Saccharomyces cerevisiae S288C: one gene and its partners. The protein of the gene in region 3 binds, or shares a complex with, the protein of the main gene of each other region. Each region holds a gene or a part of one and is shown on either strand. Other genes may lie near its edges. The genes, in order: DLS1, DPB4, ITC1 and ISW2.

What was found.
Region 1: ITC1 (region 3) and DLS1 share a complex: the UniProt entries of both Saccharomyces cerevisiae proteins name them as parts of the ISW2 complex.
Region 2: ITC1 (region 3) and DPB4 share a complex: the UniProt entries of both Saccharomyces cerevisiae proteins name them as parts of the ISW2 complex.
Region 4: ITC1 (region 3) and ISW2 share a complex: the UniProt entries of both Saccharomyces cerevisiae proteins name them as parts of the ISW2 complex.

Annotation. Positions count from the first base shown.
Region 1 is NC_001142.9:314,554-317,365, forward strand, and holds DLS1 (Dls1p), read right to left. Parts: upstream 1,005-2,812; coding exon 501-1,004; downstream 1-500. Other genes in the region: MPM1 (Mpm1p), read right to left, coding at 1-319; mitochondrial 54S ribosomal protein bL17m MRPL8, read right to left, coding at 1,206-1,922; COA3 (Coa3p), read left to right, coding at 2,170-2,427; mannose-ethanolamine phosphotransferase LAS21, read left to right, coding at 2,731-2,812. UniProt on the Saccharomyces cerevisiae protein: Functions as a component of the ISW2 complex, which acts in remodeling the chromatin by catalyzing an ATP-dependent alteration in the structure of nucleosomal DNA.
Region 2 is NC_001136.10:691,431-695,652, reverse strand, and holds DPB4 (DNA polymerase epsilon noncatalytic subunit), read right to left. Parts: upstream 2,069-4,222; coding exon 1,478-2,068; downstream 1-1,477. Other genes in the region: serine/threonine protein kinase KIN1, read right to left, coding at 1-953; TRM1 (tRNA (guanine26-N2)-dimethyltransferase), read left to right, coding at 2,392-4,104. UniProt on the Saccharomyces cerevisiae protein: As accessory component of the DNA polymerase epsilon (DNA polymerase II) participates in chromosomal DNA replication.
Region 3 is NC_001139.9:255,004-262,686, reverse strand, and holds ITC1 (Itc1p), read right to left. Parts: upstream 4,981-7,683; coding exon 1,186-4,980; downstream 1-1,185. Other genes in the region: DNA-binding E3 ubiquitin-protein ligase SNT2, read left to right, coding at 1-1,039; PCL10 (Pcl10p), read right to left, coding at 5,723-7,024; 60S ribosomal protein uL1 RPL1B, read right to left, coding at 7,393-7,683. UniProt on the Saccharomyces cerevisiae protein: Functions as a component of the ISW2 complex, which acts in remodeling the chromatin by catalyzing an ATP-dependent alteration in the structure of nucleosomal DNA.
Region 4 is NC_001147.6:881,639-889,078, reverse strand, and holds ISW2 (DNA translocase), read right to left. Parts: upstream 4,566-7,440; coding exon 1,203-4,565; downstream 1-1,202. Other genes in the region: RRG7 (Rrg7p), read right to left, coding at 1-57; BIL1 (Bil1p), read left to right, coding at 329-559; carbamoyl-phosphate synthase (glutamine-hydrolyzing) CPA1, read right to left, coding at 4,945-6,180; YOR302W (uncharacterized protein), read right to left, coding at 6,237-6,314; RAX1 (Rax1p), read right to left, coding at 6,807-7,440. UniProt on the Saccharomyces cerevisiae protein: Catalytic component of the ISW2 complex, which acts in remodeling the chromatin by catalyzing an ATP-dependent alteration in the structure of nucleosomal DNA.

The DNA of each region.
Region 1 (2,812 bases), on a different chromosome or scaffold from region 3:
GAGGGGGGATAGCCTTACTTGGGACAAGACATTTCCAAATCCCTTGGGTGGTCCATGCAGACTGGCCCTTAAGTTCTTCGCACTTGTCAAACTGCTTCACCGTAGGGATTCCGGACGCCATGGCAAGTGCACTATCTCCAAGATCTCTGAAGTTGAAATTGAAGGGCAGTGGTAGGAGTGGATTATCGTATTCATCAATATCCCTTAACTTTGGAAAGAGGTTCCAGAAGGGTGCCGTTGCGAACTTTTGATCTTTGATATATTTGTCATTAAATGCCTTGGTGTTGGCATCATTGTCATCGCCTTCATAAAAGCCCATATCGAGTAAACGGTTTGTCGGTTTCCTTTGTCTTTCTTGTCCTTTTCGTTTGTAACCTCCTAAATTCAAGGCTTAATATTTTTTTTTTCCCCTTTACTTAATTAACGTATAAAGAAACTATGTTGTTCTACAGATCGTGAGAGAGAGAAGAAAAATCCTTCTATGCAATGTGCTTGTGTAGTTATTCTTGATCAGTAACGTCTTCGTCGTCGTCTTCGTCATTATCAAGATCAATCTCGACAATGTTGGGCTTCGGAGCCGTATCGTTCACCACATAGGCGGAGTAAACTTCATTAGGGGGCATGACACTTGTAGTATATCTAACTCGGTTTTCTTCCACTAGAAGCCTCAAATTCTTTGTTGTTGGTATCACATCATTCAAAAACTGCAGATGGCCGTCAGAAGAGTGCACAATTGCGGCAGAGATGTCATCGTACGACAGCGTGAGTTCATCTGGGAGCGGCGGTACCTGTTGTTGTTGCTGCTGCTGTTGCCTATGTAGGGACTCATGTGTCAGCACCTGGACGAAGAATTCTGTAGCAAACGCTGTGGCTACGAATGCGTCATCCGAAGTGTCCATATATTCTGGATCATTCTTGGCTATTCTCTGCACTTTTTCTACAGGTAACTTGGGCGAACACAGAGGTGCAGACGCCGTTTCTTTACCACTAGTCTCGTTGTTCATTGTGTTAGCCTGATCACATCGAGCGAGCTATCCTGACGCTATTCTCTCTTGTTTCTTCTGTTTTGTTTCTCTTACATTTTTCATTTTTTTCTCTAGTTGGAAAAAAAAAAAAACACTATATTAGAATACGCACATTGTTAGCGCTGTTCTTTCAATTGTCATCTATATATTTACAAGGGAATACACAAAATCCTGGTTTTTTTAAGGTCTGGGAACCATGACATAGGAGGAGGGTTTCTTCGTCTTCTTTGGCAATGACGAAGAGTAGACCTCCTTCAAAAGTGCCTGCGTCCTTTCGTTTTCGAGTGCCTCATCATAGGGAAGGGACATTTCCTTGAGTAAGACCTGCTTGATGAGCATAATTTCACCATGTAGCTGCGCTTCTGCTTTAAACTTGGCCACTTTGTGAAGATTCTGCAATGTGAGTGGGTTATGAGGTAGCTGGTTGGCGTCATCGTTGATGACTGACTTGACTAACAGCCACATCTTTAAATTGCCCCTGTTCACCGTATGCGATTCGGACATCACGGGAGAGTCGACTAGTTCCAAGACGGATTGCGGCGCTGAGTCGTTAGCCCTAGGCTCTAACCGCAGCACACGCGTGTACCCACCGGGCCTTTCCAAGTACCGCGGTGCGATCTCGCTGAACAACCGCTTCATCAACTTTCTGTTGTCTCCTGCTAAAAACAATTGGCTCTGAATTTGGGACTTTAATTCCGCCTGTGCAACACTATTACTTGTCGTTATTGCCCTCTTTGTCCAGGTAATGATCCGCTCTGCGACCCTGGAAGCCTCTTTACATTTGGCATGCGTTGACACTATAGATTCATGCTGAAACAACTGGCACGCAAGGTTTTTTAGCAGCGCATCCCTATGCGCCTTGTCCCTAGAGAGTTTCCTAGCAATACCCACTGTCATTGTTGCGCTCGACTGTGCTTCTCACCGTTTTTTCTCCTTGGCGTAGCCAAATCTCTTGACCGTTATAAGCTGTTTTAGCTTGTCAAATCCCACTTGTTCTTGTTAACCAACTTTTCCCGCCTCGTACGCGGTGACAGACAAAGCAGTGATTTTTGCTCATTGTATAAAGGGAGTCTTTACTATGGTGGCATAAGCAACAATACTACGTGAGCAGCAACGAAAGCACATATATAGACGACAAAGTAGTATGGTTTTGAATCCGTCCAAGTACCAAGACACCCGCACGTGGAAGATGACGCCTGCCATGATCAGGGCCCGTAAACCCTTTTTCAAAGGCAATATGCTCGGTCTCACGCTGCTGCTGGGTGTCACGGGCTCTGTTTACTACTACACATATCATTTTCTGCACAAGGACAACGACTTTGCAGACGTGCCCATTCCACCCATCGATCCGCAGGAGCTCGAGGCTCTCAAAAAGGAGTACGAAGCCAAGAAGAAGGCATGAAAAGACCGTTAATGTGGAGGTACGCTGTGGTCTTCCATCAATAGGCTTTGCGCTGTTCTTCTCTCCTCTTTTGTAAATAGTTTACCTACTTGCGTATATGTATATATATATATATATAGATATGCTTATACGGATATATACATACATTCTGTTTGTTTATACTCTTTGTCCTACTCTAACAGCCAGCTCTTTAGTTTAAGAATATGATGAAAAACTCAGTTTGGGAAAAAAAAGGAAAATGTTAAAGTATAAACAATATCGAAATAAGTTCATCTACCACGCACACTTCACCAAGTTAGCAAGATGAACTTGAAGCAGTTCACGTGCCTATCATGCGCTCAATTACTCGCTATTCTGCTCTTTATCTTTGCTTTTTTCCCTAGAA
Region 2 (4,222 bases), on a different chromosome or scaffold from region 3:
TTCGCTTTTAACAGCTCGGGAGCGGCAAAATACAGAGAGCCACAGAATGTATGAAGCTGCTTCCTAGAATCATAAATATTTGAAAGTCCAAAATCAATTATCTTGATTTCACTGGAATCTGAAATCATTATATTTTCTATCTTCAAATCTCTATGGACGATGTTGTTAGCATGCAAATATATTAAGGCGCTCGCGATACCCCTAGCAAACTTTCTCGCTTGGTGTTCTCGTATTGACCCATGTTGGATGATATAGTCTAACAGCTGACCACCTGAAACATATTCAAACAACATATAGAAATGATTTGACAACGTGCACATCTCAAAAAGTCTACATATGTGTGGATGATATAAGATTTGTCCCAAGGACGCTTCTCGAATAGTTCTTTTGTCCCTAGATATTTCCTTCTCTAATTTCTTCTGTCTCTCCAAAACATCTTGTTCATTTTTGGGTGGTGGCAGCATTTGTTCTTTATGTAGGAAAGCCTTTGTAGCACGGTTTACAATTTTTACTGCACAAACCTCATTAGTGTAACGATGTTTTGCCAGCTTCACTTTACCCATAGAACCTGCACCAACTGTTTCAACAAACTCCCAATCTCCTAACGATTTTCGATGAAACTGCTTAGGCATGCCCTGAGAAGACGAAACTCGACTCTGGCTGGTAGTATTTGGCTTTGGTGCATTCTCTCTCGATTTACCTTCAAGTTCTACTTGTCTCTCCTTTTGCTCTGCTTGATGTGAGTTACCATTATTGGCGTATTTGATATCCGCCGGGGGCATTAGCGGTGTGTTCTGCTGCTGCTGCTGCTGTGGACTTTTTCCCATCATTCTCAGCGTAGCGGGCGCCATAGTGCTTGGTTGTGTATGCATGCTGTTGCTTTCACTATTGCCATCATCCTGCTGGTTACCTCTGCCCATTGAGAAGGCAGTATTTACGTGATAATCATCCATATTCTACGTGAGCAAAAAGTAATCGTAATAAACTGTACCTGTTTAAAAGAAGTTGAAAAAAAAAATGCGTAATAGCCCAAAATCCCTAGTATATTCAGTTGCTCTAATCGGAGCAAAGATGTTTGAATTTTACTAATCAATAGTTGGAAAATGAAAGACCGATAGGGTAGGGGGGCGAAGGGTGACAACTAATTATGTTAACTAGCCTAGGTTACCGTATGTCCTTATAATAACGAAGTAAATCTCAAAAAATTTCAAATCACAAAGTGGCTCTAACTAAACCTGCTTGATATCGTATCTCGCTAATACACTTCCTCAACGCCATAATTTCTTGTTAACGTTCCACCAATATCAACTTCTTGTCCCCTTTCTTTCCTTCCGCATTGGCGCCGCGTTGGGTTCCCCGGCTTGCAAATAACGACGATGAGTATAGCTTATTATGTATGTAGGTAATAAAGGCAAGTTACATACTACGATCCTGTGGGAGTGGTGGCAAGCACTACTAGACAGTTTCCATAGCGGGGTTACGTTTGCTCAAGGTTTTGAACTCTAGTTTCTACATCTTGGCTCTCCGTTTTCTGTTTCTTTTCGGAGGACTCTTCTACGTCCTGTAATGCATCGCCTTGTTCTTCTATTTCGTCATGCTCTTTAACCTTTTCCACGGGCACATTCTCCTTATCTTCACCCATATCTATATCGCCATCAGCATCTACTTCACCACTATCTAGTTTTTCCTTCTTCCTCTGTTCAACAGCAGCTTGGTATTCATCTAGTTTATCTCTAACCGGACCCTTCAATGCCGAGTGTCCTATATGGTCCAAAGCACTCAGAACATCATCTACACTGCAGCTTTTTTTATCTTGACTCTTTGCAATTTCCCTTGCAAACAGGAGCAAGTGGTTAACAAATACTGTAGCACCACGCTGTAACGCTAGTGATGCGTCTTTATTTATCAGCAGCTTTTTGCCGCTTTGCTGTGGCACTTCGCGTGCCAAATTCACAATAGTGCTTTTAGGAAATAACAGGTCCTGAATCGTAATGTTCTCTTGTTCTTTAATATACGAAGTAGTGGGGTAATTCCCTTGGGCGTCTTTTCTCCAACCTTTTGGTGGCATCGTGTGTAAAAATATATGGTCTGATATAAATAAGCAATGAAAGGCTTGACTTCTATTTCAAAGTATTAAATAATTAAAAAAATCCTTCCTTTCACCTAAAACCTCTAGGTAATATTCTGTGGCTTCTGCTATTGTGCCGCTATGAATAACAATTTTAAGCTCTGATGATCGAATCTGGTTTTTAACGTTATTCCAATTTGAGCCTTTCTTTATTCGTCCAAAGGGATAAAGCATTATTTTTTTTTCATCGCATTCAATGCTCATCGCAAAGTTACAGATCCTGAGCAGTCATAAGTTGATACCTTTCCTCTTACAATGTAGATATGGAAGGTTTCTTCAGGATACCCCTCAAGCGGGCAAATTTACACGGAATGTTGAAGGCTGCTATATCCAAAATTAAAGCGAATTTTACCGCGTATGGTGCACCAAGAATCAATATTGAGGATTTCAATATAGTCAAGGAAGGAAAAGCAGAAATTCTTTTCCCTAAAAAGGAAACTGTTTTCTATAATCCCATCCAACAATTTAATAGAGATCTAAGTGTTACATGCATCAAGGCGTGGGACAACCTATATGGTGAGGAATGTGGCCAAAAGAGAAATAATAAAAAAAGTAAGAAGAAAAGGTGCGCGGAAACTAACGATGATTCTTCCAAGCGTCAAAAAATGGGAAACGGGTCACCAAAAGAAGCCGTTGGTAATTCTAATCGAAACGAACCTTATATAAATATTTTGGAAGCATTGTCAGCCACTGGGTTAAGAGCCATTAGGTATGCTCATGAAATTCCCCATGTGAGGGAAGTTATTGCTAACGATTTACTTCCAGAGGCTGTCGAATCTATAAAACGAAACGTTGAATATAATAGTGTCGAAAACATTGTCAAGCCAAACCTTGATGATGCTAATGTCTTAATGTACCGTAACAAAGCGACGAATAATAAGTTTCACGTCATCGACTTGGATCCTTACGGTACCGTTACACCTTTTGTAGATGCGGCTATTCAGAGTATTGAGGAGGGTGGTCTAATGCTGGTAACTTGCACTGATTTATCCGTTTTGGCCGGTAACGGATACCCAGAAAAGTGTTTTGCCTTATATGGTGGTGCAAATATGGTTTCTCATGAATCAACTCACGAAAGTGCGCTGAGACTAGTATTGAACTTACTAAAGCAAACTGCCGCGAAATACAAGAAAACTGTGGAACCGCTTTTGTCGTTGAGCATTGACTTTTACGTCAGAGTTTTTGTCAAAGTCAAAACAAGCCCGATTGAAGTCAAAAACGTTATGTCAAGTACTATGACTACTTACCATTGTTCCCGTTGCGGCTCTTACCACAATCAACCTCTGGGCAGAATTTCTCAACGCGAAGGTAGGAACAACAAAACATTCACCAAATACTCGGTTGCGCAAGGGCCTCCGGTTGATACTAAATGTAAGTTCTGCGAGGGGACATACCATTTAGCTGGTCCAATGTATGCAGGACCTCTACACAACAAGGAGTTCATCGAGGAGGTGTTGAGAATTAATAAAGAAGAGCATCGTGACCAGGATGATACATATGGAACACGTAAAAGAATTGAAGGTATGCTATCTCTAGCTAAGAATGAATTATCCGATTCGCCATTCTATTTCAGTCCTAACCATATTGCATCGGTAATAAAATTACAAGTACCTCCCTTGAAAAAAGTAGTCGCAGGCCTAGGTTCCCTAGGCTTTGAATGTTCATTGACACATGCCCAACCATCGTCCCTAAAGACTAACGCTCCATGGGATGCAATCTGGTATGTGATGCAGAAATGTGATGATGAGAAGAAAGACTTAAGCAAAATGAATCCAAATACTACGGGCTATAAGATTTTATCGGCAATGCCAGGATGGTTGAGTGGCACTGTCAAATCAGAGTATGACTCAAAGCTGTCGTTCGCACCAAATGAACAAAGCGGTAATATTGAAAAACTAAGGAAGCTAAAAATTGTGAGATATCAGGAAAATCCAACAAAGAATTGGGGCCCAAAAGCCCGTCCCAACACTTCATAAGAATTTTGATTAGTGTTAGAGCTAAAACGTAAGAAACTAAGGATCCGCCCGAGAACGGTATAATGGACGGAAAAGAATGCTTCTCTTTTGTAATATAGATGTTTAAAGTAATCAGGAG
Region 3 (7,683 bases):
TGGTAATTGTGGACTTACAGTACACTACTTCTGTTATGCTATTAAACTGCCGAAAGATATGAAGAAAAACACTAACCTTAAGACATTTAAATGGTTATGTGACCCTTGTTCAAATGACCTCAATCCTATAATATCAACGACCTACCAATGTAGTATGTGTCCTACGAAGGACTATGACTATGATAGATATAGGAGCCAATCATTTAAAATATGTCCAGACGCATTGAAATGCACGAGCTTAGGGACATGGGTGCATTTGGTTTGCTCACTTTTCAATGAAGATATCAAATATGGAAACGGACAATCAATGCAACCTGCCCTTAATACCACTGCTGTGCTTATTAAACATAGTAGATTTACATGTGGTGTGTGCAGGATAAATGGAGGTGGGTTAGTGAAGTGTAACAAATGCCAATATAGGTATCATATTACATGTGCACAGAACAGCTCCAATTTTAAGCTTATGTTTGAAAAGAAAAATATGTCTGTAGACACCACTCTACCGTGCATAAAGGATGTCAAGCTTAACGATACATACACTTTGAGACCTATACTAATATGCGATAGACACGATATCAGCTTAGAAGGAAACGAACTTTATCCATTATCGTACAAGCCTCAACATACTCTGTCATACATAGAACAATACTGCAGATATTATAAGTGCGAATCTGACCATAGTCTAGTGGAGTTGAGATATTTTGAACAGCTTAGACTGCGACACGGCGAAATGCCAGGAAACTCACACGACTCTGCTATTAAACCCAAAATTTACGTACTTCCTTTCGAAAGGACTTGCCCACATTGTGGTACAAACAAAAGTTTATACTGGTATGAAGATATTATTTGCCATTCTTGCAATTTGAGATCAGGTGCCCAAGAACTCGATTTTGATAGCGCATCTGCTAATATCTCTAACGATAACGGTTTACCAGTCGAAATTACCCAGCAATTGATGGAAGGAATTGAGCCAGCTATGTTTGATATCGATATTTCAGAAGCTGGTACCGACAAAAATACGCATCCATCAAGCCAGTAAGTGATAGTTACCTTAGATAGAAAGTATGGTCCAATCTTGCGCGGCTTTGTTGTGTTATTTTTTTCCATTATGCTTACAATGAATAATCTTATCCTATTTATGAATACTACAATTTACCATCAGTTACAAAGGAAGTTTTTTATATATTAATTTGGGGCAGGTGTTACTGTTCTTGAGGTTTGGCCCACTATATCTTTTAATTTATCGTCTACTGTTTCAATGACACCACTCCTTTTATTACCAGATGCATTTTTGCGAAGTGAGGAACCCCATATCGAATTTGCTAAAACGTTTTTCCAAGCTATCACATCTTCCATAGCTTTAAAATGTCTATAATTGACTAAGTCAGTCAATATTTCAATCTGCTTATTCACCTTATTACCACGGGAGATTTTGGTTCTTTTCCTTTCTGAACGGGCTAAAATCCTCGCGCCTGGCCTCTGCGAATTTATTATGGATTTTTTCTGTTCCAAGAGTTCATCTCTCTGATCTTCTAATTCTTGTATTCTATTAAGAACATTGCGTGTTTTCGAGCTATCATCTAGCTTCATGAGTTCGTCTGCAATCACCTCCAACTTTTCGTCTATCACAGCTTCTCTCTTCTCTTCGGCATCAACCTGTACATCAACCTCACTTTTAACACCGCTATTTTTATCATCAACATCCATACTATCAACGTTCAATTCGTTTTCGGTAAATTCATTATTTTCTAACTCCTTTAGCAACTTTTCTTCATTTTTGGTGAATGCTGTCAGTGACAGCGCATGGTCGCGCAAGCTAAGGGAACTTTTAATTCGTTCCATTATGGGTCTGATTTGCCTCAAGAGATCATGCTCTTTGCGACCCCAATTATCTAACCAGTCCATTATTCTTGACAAGTCCTCTAACTTGTCAATGCAATACCATTGATCTGGTGATAGTAGCAACCTTGAAGGTGTTTCATCCATAATTTTCTTTTGAATAGGTGTCAGCTCTATAAGTGGGTTTACGCGATCATTACTGTCCAATAGTTCGACCTCTATTCCATTTTCTACGTAATTATAAGATCCGGAACTAGTTTTGGAGATACCAAATACTTCCCTAGTTGCCTCGGATATTCCTTCGGAATTTCTGATTTTTTGCCAATTGCTCAATTGCTCATCACTGACGTTCAAAAAGAATTTCGCCGATGATGCTTTAGGTCCCTGAATTAATAAACGACCGGAGTGATAACTCAAACTATTGTTACTTTTCGGCGTCTCATTCATACCAGCAGGATATTGAGGAAATGGAACACCATTGTGATCCAGCCAAAAATACCTGTTCCCGTATCGATCCAATCCCAACGGCTTTAATCTTTGTAGATCGTTTTCAAATAGACAATTATCGAGGAAATTTTTATCTGATTGTAAAGCTTGTACCTTTTTATCCTGCTCTTCAATTAACTTTTGCTTTTTCTCAATGATAATAAGATCAATTGGTTCACTATTTGATTCGGAATCATCTTTTTTATCGGCACCATCGGCTGATGGTGTGTTTTCATCTGTTTTATTTAACTTCTCTTGAATTGCCTGCAGGTCGCCTTGAAGATTACTTAAGACGGCTGCCTCCGTTTTCAACTCTCTCGCAACTTTGAATCTTTCGCTACGAATTTGACCACATAGTTCCATGGAATCATCTACAGCAGCTTTGATATCTGGAGAAAAATGCGATACGAGATCTACAAGTATCCACAGCGCATTGACTTTGTCACTGAACGACAGCTTTCGACAGAAATTTCTCCAAAGCTGTTTGGGCAATTGAGTAGCTGATATATCTTTGGGTATGATCTTTTCTATGAAAGAATCAATAAACTCTGTATACATGGGAAGATGTCTACAATCTTCTAAGACTCCCAGTAAAATTATTAGCCAGTAACTGTTATTAAATTGCCTTTTCGTCAAGCGTTCTATCCAGTTAACATTGCGGTAGTTCAAACACTTTTCTAATTTAGGATCTCGTTCTTCACTGTCAGAATCAGATTTAGAATCAGATTCTGAATTTGTTTCGTTTTTAGCGTCTGATTCTTTTTGAACTTCTGTTGCGTTTTCCTTTAATGTGTCCTTTAGGTTGTCGATCTTTTCCTTATCTTGTAAAAAGTATCCGTGAGCATTTCGTTTTTGCTTCGCCTCCCCCTCCCCTCTTTCATCTTTTCTCTCCATAAGGACTCCCTTGTCGTCTATTATCCAGTTTTCAACGACGATGCAACTCCAATCGCCTTCTTCGTTGATGAACAAACGTAAGAGCGCAGTAAAAACTTCAATGAGAAGAGCAGACCCATTATGATTGATATTATCAAGTATATCATCGGATGCTGGGTCATCGTGAACAATCTTGTACTCAACCTTGTCGGAATTTCTTTTCATTATCATATCACGAATAAATGAATTTCTTTGCCAGTCACTTGGGTTTTCAGAGTCTTCCTCAGTAGTAGTCTCTGCTTTGTTTTTCATCGGCAGGCCGTTATTTTCAATTTCTTGTTCTTTAGACGTTTGCGTTCTTATGTTCACTAAAACAACTTCGCCCTTTAACTCATATGGGTCTGTACATTTCAAAGAAGTAATGAATTGGTCAAGGCTAAAATGAGAGAGACAAATTTTCGAACCAAACGTATTCAGAAACTGATAGGCTTGTAATAGCTTTCCAAAAGAATCAAAAGGTCTGGAAAGTTTTGTAGAACCTAATGAAATACATTCTAATTTTTCATTATAATACGTTAAGTTTGGAAAGATGTTCGGTGGATGTTGATATGGCAAAGCTAGGTCATCCATTATGCTCGTTATTGTTACAGCCTGAGGCTCCGCATTAGCTGGTGTAGGAACGCTTTCGACGTTTTCCGTGTTCGGTTCCTCATTGGCTTCCTTTTTCCTTTTTTTAGAATGTGTTTCTGATGTGACATTTTGACCCTTCTTCTTGTCTTCTTCCGAAGAATTATTCTCAGAATCATTTACTTCGGTTGGCTTTCTTTTTTTCTTGGTTTCTTTTTTGTTAGAAGCATCGTTTGAGGTGTTACTTTTACCCGATGATTTACTTTGACGTTTATTCTTTTCACTTTCTGGGGATGAAACATTGGCACTGTTGGAACGTCTTGCTACGACAGGTTCATCTTCTTTATATTTTAACATATCTTTTGGCCATTCCATCGTTAAACCATACATCGCTAAATATTCCGGTTTGACACACCAAGGTGCACCCATTTTCGAAGATGCCCTCTGTAAAGTAATCTTGAAAAAACATTTGATTAAGTGCTTAGTGAAAGTGGAACGGTCCCTGTAAATTTGTCCTTGATCAACAATGAAGGATTTATTACTGGAAGCTGCTTCTTCTATCAGCATGTATTTAGTATGAGCGGGCATCACAATTTCCCTGCTCTCTGGATTTATCGTTGCGTTAAATTGGACCTTTTCTTTGATAACATAACGTCTTTGGTATTGGTACTGCGGTAAGCCAGGATTACCAACACTGTTGATTTCGACCATATCATCAGGTTGAGGAGTACTTTGTTGGGAATTAGAGCTTGTGGTAGAAGAGTCTTTCTGTTTACGTAGATAAACAACTTCTCCTGGGAAAAAGTCATTTTTAAATCTTGCGTAAACTTTCTCCACCAATGCATCTAACCTTCTTATTCCGTTAAAATGTAAAAATCTTGCAACTGGTTCTCTCAACTTTAATGGGAATCTGTCTTCGACGTATTTGAATTGTGTCTCCTCACTATCCAGAGCTTGGAAAAAAGTCAGGCAAGAAGTACCAGTGATTTCGCATGTAAAATGGTGGCGTGTGTAGAAATCAAACCTTTCTAAAAATTCTTCGTAACTAGAAAACCATTCTCCAGTCTCTTCAATATGCCATACTTGTACATTCAAATCCAATGGTAAAGGTTTTGGATCAGGAAGTAATATAGGTTTCCTTTTATATAACACCATTGTTTATTAACGGCTTTCTTTACTTCCTCCTATTGTTATTTTCTTTTTTTATATATCTTCAATGGAAGTGCTATAGTAATTGTAAAAATCTGGATATATCTGCCTATTTCCAACAGTAATTGAGTGTGATGTATCTAATGTCAGTTGAATTGTTTACAGCCTTTTAAATAGTTATGTATTTAACCCAATATATGTTTTTCTGAATTTTTTCAGGAGAAATACAAAGAAAAGAAGAAGAGCAAGAAAGAGGATTTTTCTGATCGGTATTATCCTTTTTATTTTTTTTCTATTTCTACACTTTTTTTCCTCTATAATTTTCCTTTATTATTTTTCATTTCGGGTTTTCTCACCACGTTAAAAATGGATAATAAACTTAAAAGAAATAAAACCATGAAATATTTCTATTTTAAGGTTAGACAATACAGAAGGGACAGAGAAAGATGTGTAGGCAAATATACATTTGTTTGAACCATAGATTCAACAGTAATTTAATGCGAGTAAAAAAATCACATTTTTATGTGCGTTTCGAGAGCATCAATTAAGAATCCGGGATAACTGTTGGGAAGCTCTGAAGTTTTCTCCAATATCGAGTACAGGTTTCCACCATTGCACGGAAATATAAACAGACTAAGTTTGTCGTTGTTTTATTGAGAAATTGTTTGTATCATATTACCAGTGCCGCTATTGACTGGAAAGCATTCGTTACGTTCGTTAAAATAATTATCTAAAATACTTGTATCAACTATACACAGAAGGACCGTAGTTCATTCAAAAGTAATTTGGAGGCGGCTAATTTCCTGTTACTGACCATTAATTTAGTATTGCACACACAGATCAATAGACTGACTTCTAATTTAGTCAAAAGCCGTTTCGAAATACCGCATACTTTACTAAAATATTCATGTGAGTGAACGAAATCTTCCAATAATTTCGTGCTCAATCTAACCGCTGCTATTATCATTCGATGGACCTCCTTTTCCTGTAAGTTTAACTTCAACTGCAAAATGTTATTGCCATCCCTTGTTAAAAACAACGTGTCAATTAAAAATGTTGCCACAAGGTAAACAGTTGGCTGGTACTCACATTTGTCTTGGATTCTCTTGAGAAAATCTGCTGATGATAAGGTGGGTTTACTTTTCATGTAGAAATTCGAGTATTCTTTTTTCTCCACTCTAGTATTGAAACCGGTACACTTTCTATTGCCACTAAGTTTTAGTAGTAGTTCTATGGTTTCCTTGAAATTCGCCAGAGCTTCATCAACCGATATGTGGGGCACTTCTACATCAACCGGTATGCCATGTAGCAACGGGTTTTCACTTTCGGACTTAGTTTTTTCTTGATCTTCTTCTTCATCGTGTGGTAGACTGATATGCAACCCTCCCATATCAAAGCTTGTAATGCTGCTACATTCAGAAAAAATGGAGTCATCAATATCTTGCTCCTCCACATCCGTAGCATCGCCAATTTCGAAACTGGCAGTTGGAGATTTGAAGAGTGGTGATCTACGGCGAGGTATGCTTAGCCCGTTTTGTTGATGGAAAAGATCTTTATCAAAAATAGAACTTGTGCAACCCGTGGTATCCTCTAGCTCATCATCACTTAGTTCAAAATTGGACGTTGAGCTAAAATTAGTGCCATTAATACACGCGCTCGAATCATCACCCATGGAACTATATAATCCTTTCCCTCCATTCAATAGCCCCACCTGAAAATTGTTTATGTTCTCTATATTCTGCGCCAAATAATTATTCATTTCATTAGCGGATTCCAACAGTTGCTCTACATGTATTCTATTTTTTGAACTATCTGTTGTACCGCATGGCTGTGCTTTCTCAGTCTTGCCTTCTGCAAGACCAGGCGTATTTGATCTAGACTGGTCCCATTCACTTGTTAAATCTGAGAAATTCTCACTCTGTAAAAACTTTGGTTTCAAAGGTAATTCGAACGAAGCGTTATAATCGTCCACAATTCCCAAACTGACTGGACGTATATCACCATCATCAAACTCCTCTGTGTCAGTGGTGTGGTTTTTAGTCATGTCCATTTTGCAAGTAATCTATTTGCGCATGGAATACCTATATTATGCGAGTCGAAGATTATATAATAGCAGGTATGGTTGAACTGATTGAACACCAAAGCATATCGATCTGTGAAATTCACTCAACATGCTTTTAAAGTAAGGCAAGTTCTAAGTGATTTCCTACAAAACATCGCTGAGAAAGGAAAGAAAAATGGCATGATATGGAGTAAGAATCGGATCGGTGCAATATACTCCGAGCTTCCCGAAAAGATATATTCCGGGCCCAAAAATATCTGGCTAAAACTATGCATAATACTTTTACTACTTAGAGTCATACGTATTAAAAAAGGTATTTAAAAAGATGGAGATATGTATTAATCGCTCGGAAGTGATTAGTACAATCTGAAAGCTGGACCCATGGAGGACTTAACAACCAAGGAACCAACATTTTGCCAGTTCTTCTTCAACAAAGAAACAAAGAAGTTAACAGACATCAAGATTTGGTTAACCAAAACGTCTTCTTCCATTTCAACGTTACCAACGGCAACAGCCAAACACAAGACCTTCTTCAATTGGAACTTGATGGTAGATCTGACATCAGTGACCTTACCGTACAAGTCATCGTTGTGAGAAACTGGGGTTGGGAACTTACCAGCCTTGGACAATTGAGGACCCAATAGTCT
Region 4 (7,440 bases), on a different chromosome or scaffold from region 3:
ATATGCTTGAATTGCAGGATTATTGAGCCATCTTCGTCCCAAATAGTTTTTTATCATGTTTTATCATGTTTTACCGTTCTTTACCGTGTTTTATATAGGAAGAAGCTTTAGAAATTTGCTGCAGTATTTCGCTTCCTGGTCGTTAATTTCTATGTATCGATCAACCATGTTGTTTTGCTTTTCAGTTGGCCTCGATAAATAATTTGAAAAAAAAAAAAAAAAAAAAAAAACTAGCAAACCAATGAAGCGGCTTGGCTTACAGGTACATTTTACCTTAGCGCTAAATGATATTGTAAATGTGACTTGCATCTTCTGAAGGAGCACTGTAATGAGTACTGAAAAACTGGAAGCTTCGGAGGAACCACAGGCTCCCTTGGCCAATACATCTGAGACTAACTCAATAAAGGGAGATACAGAAAATATTGTAACCGTGTTTGACCTGGCAAATGAAATAGAAAAATCACTAAAGGATGTTCAGAGGCAAATGAAGGAAAATGATGATGAGTTTTCACGCAGTATACAAGCAATTGAAGACAAGCTTAACAAAATGAGTCGGTGAGAGCAGGTGAGTAGTAACATGGAAACTTCTAATGCTTTTATTCATAAAAAAGAAAACGCGTGCTATCGCGTAACTAGGTTGCAATTAACTACAGATCGTGCCAAATACGTGCTTTTTTATATGGTTTAGAAATATTAATCAACTGAAACTTAATAATATATTCGCATGTTTTTGGAGTCTCTGGGATAGCACTTCACCTATCCTTGGAAACTTGAAATGGAGAAGTTTTAACTAAATGACTTTTTTGGCAATTGCTCTCTTATAATTCAGTACACTGTTGTTAATGTAAGTTTGTAGATAAATACAATATGACAAGTATCAAAGCAGGCTTTAGTTTTCAGCAGTTCAATTATCTTAGAATGGATATGAATTAGTTAAAGCGGCTCGACCCAGTTAGACTTAATTTGTCCTCTTCATTCACCATTTTTGCAGCGATATCACATTTCATTGAAGGGAAAAAGGTGACTGAAATATGATTACCTGTCATTTATCATTATCAAACTTGAAGATAGTGGTCAAGAAGTGGCTACGGTTCATTATATAATGCGGTCTATAAGGCTCGTTAGTTTAATTGTATTCAATGAAAAAGTAATATAAAAAATTATATCTCTCACGTCACTTATTTTAATGCACAATACATGATTCATGCTTCTTGATCAATTTTGGTTCTTTTATCAACATGATCGTTTGTATCTTTTTGATTTGTCACCATCGTCGTCGGGAGATTTGGAACCGTTGAAGCTCTAGTGCTTTCATTTTGGGATAAAGGAGTATCCTCTCTAGTCGCTGAAGTTCTACTCCTTTTCTTCTTATTTGCGTCAGGTTGCTCATACTCTCTTACAATTAAAGTTAATAGCGTATGGACTCTTTTTGATAGCTCATGCACCGTTCTTGTCTTTATAAACCAATCAAAAGTGAACAAATCACTCATCATGATTTCTTGCTTTAATTTTTCATAGAGCTTGTCAGCACGAAGTCCGTACTTGTTAACAGCTAATAATAAAAATTTATCTTCTAAGGTATTGTAAGTTCTTCTAGCATTATTAGGTGGATACTGTATTATCAGCTCATGTAATGGATGTTTACACTGTTCGATTTTCTGCCTCAATAGAGTTTCCTGGAATTTCAGTTTTTCATTTTTTTTTTCACCAAGTTCTACATTATGTAAATACTTCTCCCACCCATTGATTTCCTTTAGTCTTTCCCAGAATATTTTTGCATACACTTCAACCTCTTCTGGTGTTTTGGAATCAATAGATTTCTTAATGTTTTCCATATCATCTCTACCGTATTTGGCGCAGGCGTTGATAAACGCCATAAAGTCCCTCTTATTCCAGTTAGTAAAGGCTTTTGATATCAATTCTTGCTTTCGTAATTCATCTTCTTGGGTAAAATCCGGTGCTGAATTAATCTTCTCTTGCTCCTCCTCAATCCTTCTTTTAAGTTCCTCATGGCCTTTATGACCTTCTGTATTAGCGGCATTTTTGTATTCTCCTTCTTCTTCTTCAGCATCGCTTCCTTCATTACGTATATCTCCCGTAATATCATAAGAAGTAACCTTATAGTTGACCTTTTTCTTGAAGTAAAGCTGTTCCTTTTCTTGTAAGGCATCCAACTCCTTGGGGAAGAACTGGAAATCTTGACCGTGTATAACCTTTGGAGCGCGGGGTGCTTTTGGCTGCGGAGTTTGCTTGCTTGCTGATTTAGAGCCACCACCAATAATTTCCTTATAATAATCGTCAACTGAATAAGTGGTTTGCTCTCTTCTTCTTTCTCTTCGGGAAGGATTAATCCATTCAACTACTTTGTCGTTGGATTTTTTTTGAAAGCTTTTACCATTCCATTCGTAAGCAGATTGGTTCTCGATCCCATTGAACTTTTGTAAGTCGTCAAGTCCTAAACTTTGGTATTTGGCATTTAGTTCTTGTGTCTTCTGTTCCCCCTTTTTCAAAATATCATCGATATCAGCATCAACAGTGACTTTACTTGCTTTCTTTTCAAACATATTTTTAGCGCCAAATTGAATCATATCCAACAGATCATCCTTTGAGTTACCAAGAGATGCAGTTTTCTTGCCCGTGCCCTGTTGGATAACCAACTGGTCTAGTCTCAGCTTTTGTGCGGCACGCTCAATGACTTTCTCTTCAATAGCATTTTCTGTGACAAATCTATAAACATGAACTTGTTTCTTTTGACCAATTCTATGCGCTCTATCCATTGCTTGTAGATCAGCTTGAGGGTTCCAATCAGAATCAAAAAGAATAACAGTGTCGGCTGTGACAAGGTTAATACCTAAACCACCGGCACGTGTTGTTAGCAAAAAAACGAACTTTTCAGAATTAGGTTTATTATACTCATCGATAGCTTCTATACGTTCTTCATGGCTAGTAGAACCGTCGATTCTGCAATATTCAAAATCTCTAAAATAGCAATAATCTTCTAAGATATCCAATAGTCTCGACATTTGACTGAAAATCAATACTCTAGATCCCTTTTCCTTCAGTCTTTTCAGTAACTTATCTAATATAATCATTTTCCCGGAATTGAAAATCAAATGTTCATCGGTAGTGTATGGAGGTCCAGGTTCTGCGCCTTCAAAAAGATATGGATGATTACAGCATTTCCTTAATTGCATAACAATATTCAGTAACCTCGTTTTGCCTTCTCTTTTTCCAACAGCACCGTTAACAGCGTCTATATCCTTCTCTAATAATGATTTATACCATTGTATTTGCATGTCTGTCATCCCCACGTAAACATTCGTTTCGATTTTAGGTAGCAAAGATTTTTCGACATCCGCTTTGACTCTTCTCAGTAAAAAGGGGTTTAGTACTGAGTGTAGCTGTTGGATTACAATTTCTTGATCTTGTTCCGAATTGTTTTGTTCGAACCATTCATCAAAAAGTTCAGAATCTCCAAATATATCAGGTAATAAGAAATTTAGCAGGGCCCATAATTCGTGTAGATTGTTTTGTAGAGGCGTGCCCGTAATCAATAATCTATTCTTAGAGTAAAATAATCTAATTATTTGAGATAACGCGCTTTGTTCATTTTTGATCCTGTGAGCCTCATCAATAACAATATATTGCCAAGCTAATCTTTTCAAAGCATTCTTTTCTCTAATGACCATTTCATAAGATGTAATCAATACATCAAATCTAGCTTCTAATATTATATTCCGTACTATATCAGCTCTTGTGTCTTTATCACCATGTAACACAAGGACATTGACGTTTGGAGTCCATTTAAGAAACTCTCGTCTCCAATTATCTAGTGTTGACTTCGGTACTATTATTAGAAAGGGTCCCTCGATTTGTTTGACGTATCTCAAATAACCTAGGAATGAAATTGTTTGTAAGGTTTTACCCAGCCCCATTTCATCGGCCAAGATACCAGATAGTTTGTTTTCGTGCAACGATATTAACCAGTTTAAGCCTTGAACTTGATAGTCTCTTAATTTTCCTGACTTGACGAAGGAGGGAGATTCTGAGACGAATATGTCTTCCTGATATGTATCTACAATCTCTTCTTCCTCATCAGCCATTAATTCAGCATCTTCCTCCTTTTCTGTTTTTCTATGGTGACGTGATGACGAACTGACGGTGCTGTGTGATTTGGAAAGTTTGTTTGCATCAGAATCTAACTGTTTTAAGAGTTTTTGAATATTTTTATCATGTTTTGCCTTAATTCCAATAAAATGACGGAAAAGGTCTGTGACGCCTAATAAATATTTGAATCTTTTGTACGTATCGGACTTGTCCTTTTGCTTGGCGTATTTTGGATCTACATCAAGTACGAATTTTTTCTTTCTTTGAGCCCAATATTCTGGTGGTCTATCTTCTACTGTATATATTTCTTTATCTGATAGCTCTTCACTTTGTCCGATATTATCATCATCACTACTGCCATTTGACTTTGAGTCGAGAGTATCGACTAAAACTTCTGAAGGTGACTCGCTTTTGCTATTCTTGGTATCACTTCGTTGCTCCTCTTGCTGGGTCGTCATGATCTGATTGTAAGTTTTCCTTTTGTTACGACTTAAACCAACAAGACGGGTATTATTGGAAAGTAAATAAAACAAACCACAAAGAAAGAAAACCGTTTGCACAAACTCCTTGAGTTATGCAAATATACTTATCAAAATTTAACTGAAGCTGAAAATTTTTGAGTCTGCTTTATTTGATTTTTTTTTTAGGATGGCAGGATGAAATTAGAGCCATTGTACGTACGTTACGTTTTTTTGTTCATTTAATTACAAGAAGCGCCCGTTAATTATGACAACTGCGAGTAGATACTAAGCAACGACGAGTAGCGCAAAATACCATGAACTGAATTGAATCGTATTTAGATGTACGTATGTGTTACGTAATGTATAAATTTTGTTTTTAGAACAACACTCTTTCCTTGGCCAACTTAGTAACATTTATACTCTGCAATCTCGATTTATCGGTACTGTATGTTACTTTTAGTGAGATTGAACTTTTTGCCTGAGATTGTAATTGGTATTTTTCTATATTATCGAAGAATTTGTCAAAAAGAATAGCTGTGTCTAAGGGACCACCTTTTGCCTCTGGGTGAAATTGGGTAGAAAATATGGGTCTTTGAAGGTGTATCATGCCTTCGTTTGATTTGTCGTTTAAATTAACAAAATAAGGTTTCCATTGGTCCTTTGGTAGGGTCTCAGGATCAACTGCATAGCCATGATTTTGAGATGTAATGTGGCACTGGCCGGTAGTCAAATCCATGGCAGGGATGTTGTGAGCCCTATTACCATATTTCAATTTGTGAGTAGAGGCACCGGAGGCCAGAGCCAAGAGTTGATGGCCTAGACAAATCCCAAAAATAGGGATACAGTCATAAACAGGGTTATTTAGTAATTCCCTGACGTTGGAAATTGTAGCTTGGCATAGTTCTGGGTTGCCTGGTCCATTGGATAAGAAAATACCGTCGAATTCAGAAGCAACATCTTGAATTCTGTAATCATAGGGGAAAACAGTTACATTGGCACCTCTTTTGACTAGGCATCTGATAATGTTTTCTTTAACACCACAGTCAATAAGAGCCACATTTGCCTTAGCCTTCCCAGGTAAGGCAGAGACGTGGAAAGGCTTTTTTGTGGTGACTTGAGCAACCAAGTTAGTTTTCATGGGATTCACGTAGGGGACAGGGTCATGATCAGCCAACGTAATACGGCCCAAAGAAGAACCTTGTTCCCTCAAGTATTGCACTAGTTCACGGGTGTCTACGCCAGTAATAGCAGCAACACCTTCTCTCTGACACCATTGTGCCAGAGATTCAACAGCGGTCCAATGCGAATATTGATAAGCATATTCAGCGACAACGATGCCGACCACATGTATATGCGGAGATTCAAAATACTTCAGTAAATTGTATTCATCGCGGGCTTCGCCGGATGGGACACCGTAGTTACCAATCAAGGGTTGCGTGAAGACTAATATCTGACCACGGTAGGAAGGATCAGTCATGGACTCTGGGTAACCAACCAGAGAAGTAGTGAAAACTGTTTCACCAGCAACAGATTTGTTTGCACCAAAAGATATACCTTCAAAGGAAGGACCATTTTGGATACAGAAAGTAGCTTTTGTTGCAGCGGAGGACATTTGAAATATTTTTAGGAGTGGTTTGTGATAGAATTTCTGATTATTAAGCAATGAAATTAGTGGGAGCTAGTTTTCCAGATGTGGTCAGATATGTAGTCTTGGCAGGTGTATTGAGAGTTCGATAAGCTAAACATATAATGTTTTTTTTATTTCAAATCTGCAAAAAGGGTATGTAGAAGAGTCGATTACCTTGTATTCTTTGCAGTATTTAAACAATTAGATGTTCGAGTGTATCTATGTGTTATAGTTCTGAAGAAAAAAAAAAAAAAAAAAAAGAAAAAGAAACGACGAGTCAAGAAAAGAAAAGAAAAAGGAGGGGCATGAAAAAAGAAATTGACCGAATAATCTAATGAACGTTGGATAGTTAAGTGTCTTACGAGAGAGCCTTATATATCATGTCATCGCCTTTTTTTTCCGCGAGAGGTGATAAGTGAAATCGCAACTATTTACTCATCATGAGGTAATGCGATGCGATGATGAGTCAAACACCCTTCCACGGGAAGCGCCAGCCGGCGCCCTCGGTAAAGCCTGCACTTAACGGCCCCTCGCTGTTTCTTGTACTTAGCGTCACGCGCTATGGAAATATGCGGTGCACAGGTGTTTTTATAGGGGGGTGATGGATTACATCATACACGACGGCCGGGAACACAGCTGAAAATAACTGTGAATGCGGCAGTGGCACCCACTACGAGAAGCAGACACCACAGTCCACGCTTACGTAGAAGCTGCCGAGTAAATGGGTGCTCTATGCGGGTAAGACGGCGCCTACCGCCGAACACCGCAAGTATCATTGGCACGTGATCGGTATCACTAGAAGCATCTCCTTCGTCATTGCCAGCGTTTTTGTGTCTGTGGAGAAGTCTCTGTGTGACGCCAAACCAGGAATACACAATGTCCACTTGATACATGCCACACACAATGCAGTAGCATCCCAGTGTAAATGGCACGACCGTAACGACACGGATTGCGCGACTATACGCCAGGAAGATTAGAACATATCCGATCCAAAAGCCGATGCCTAGCCAGAGCAAACCAAAGCCAATACGACTGATTGACGTGTGATTGGAGAATGGCGAGCGAGAAATGTGCGTCTGGCCTCGAGAGCGATTGCTTTTTTCGTTGGTGACGCCCACTGAGTGGAATCTCCAATCAGATATTTCATCGTGGATGTTGTGTAGTGCGACGCGGCTTAGAAATTTTGGGAAACAATCCATTTCTAGGAATTGGTAAGTTAGGTTTTTTAGGTCGTCAAAAATCTCA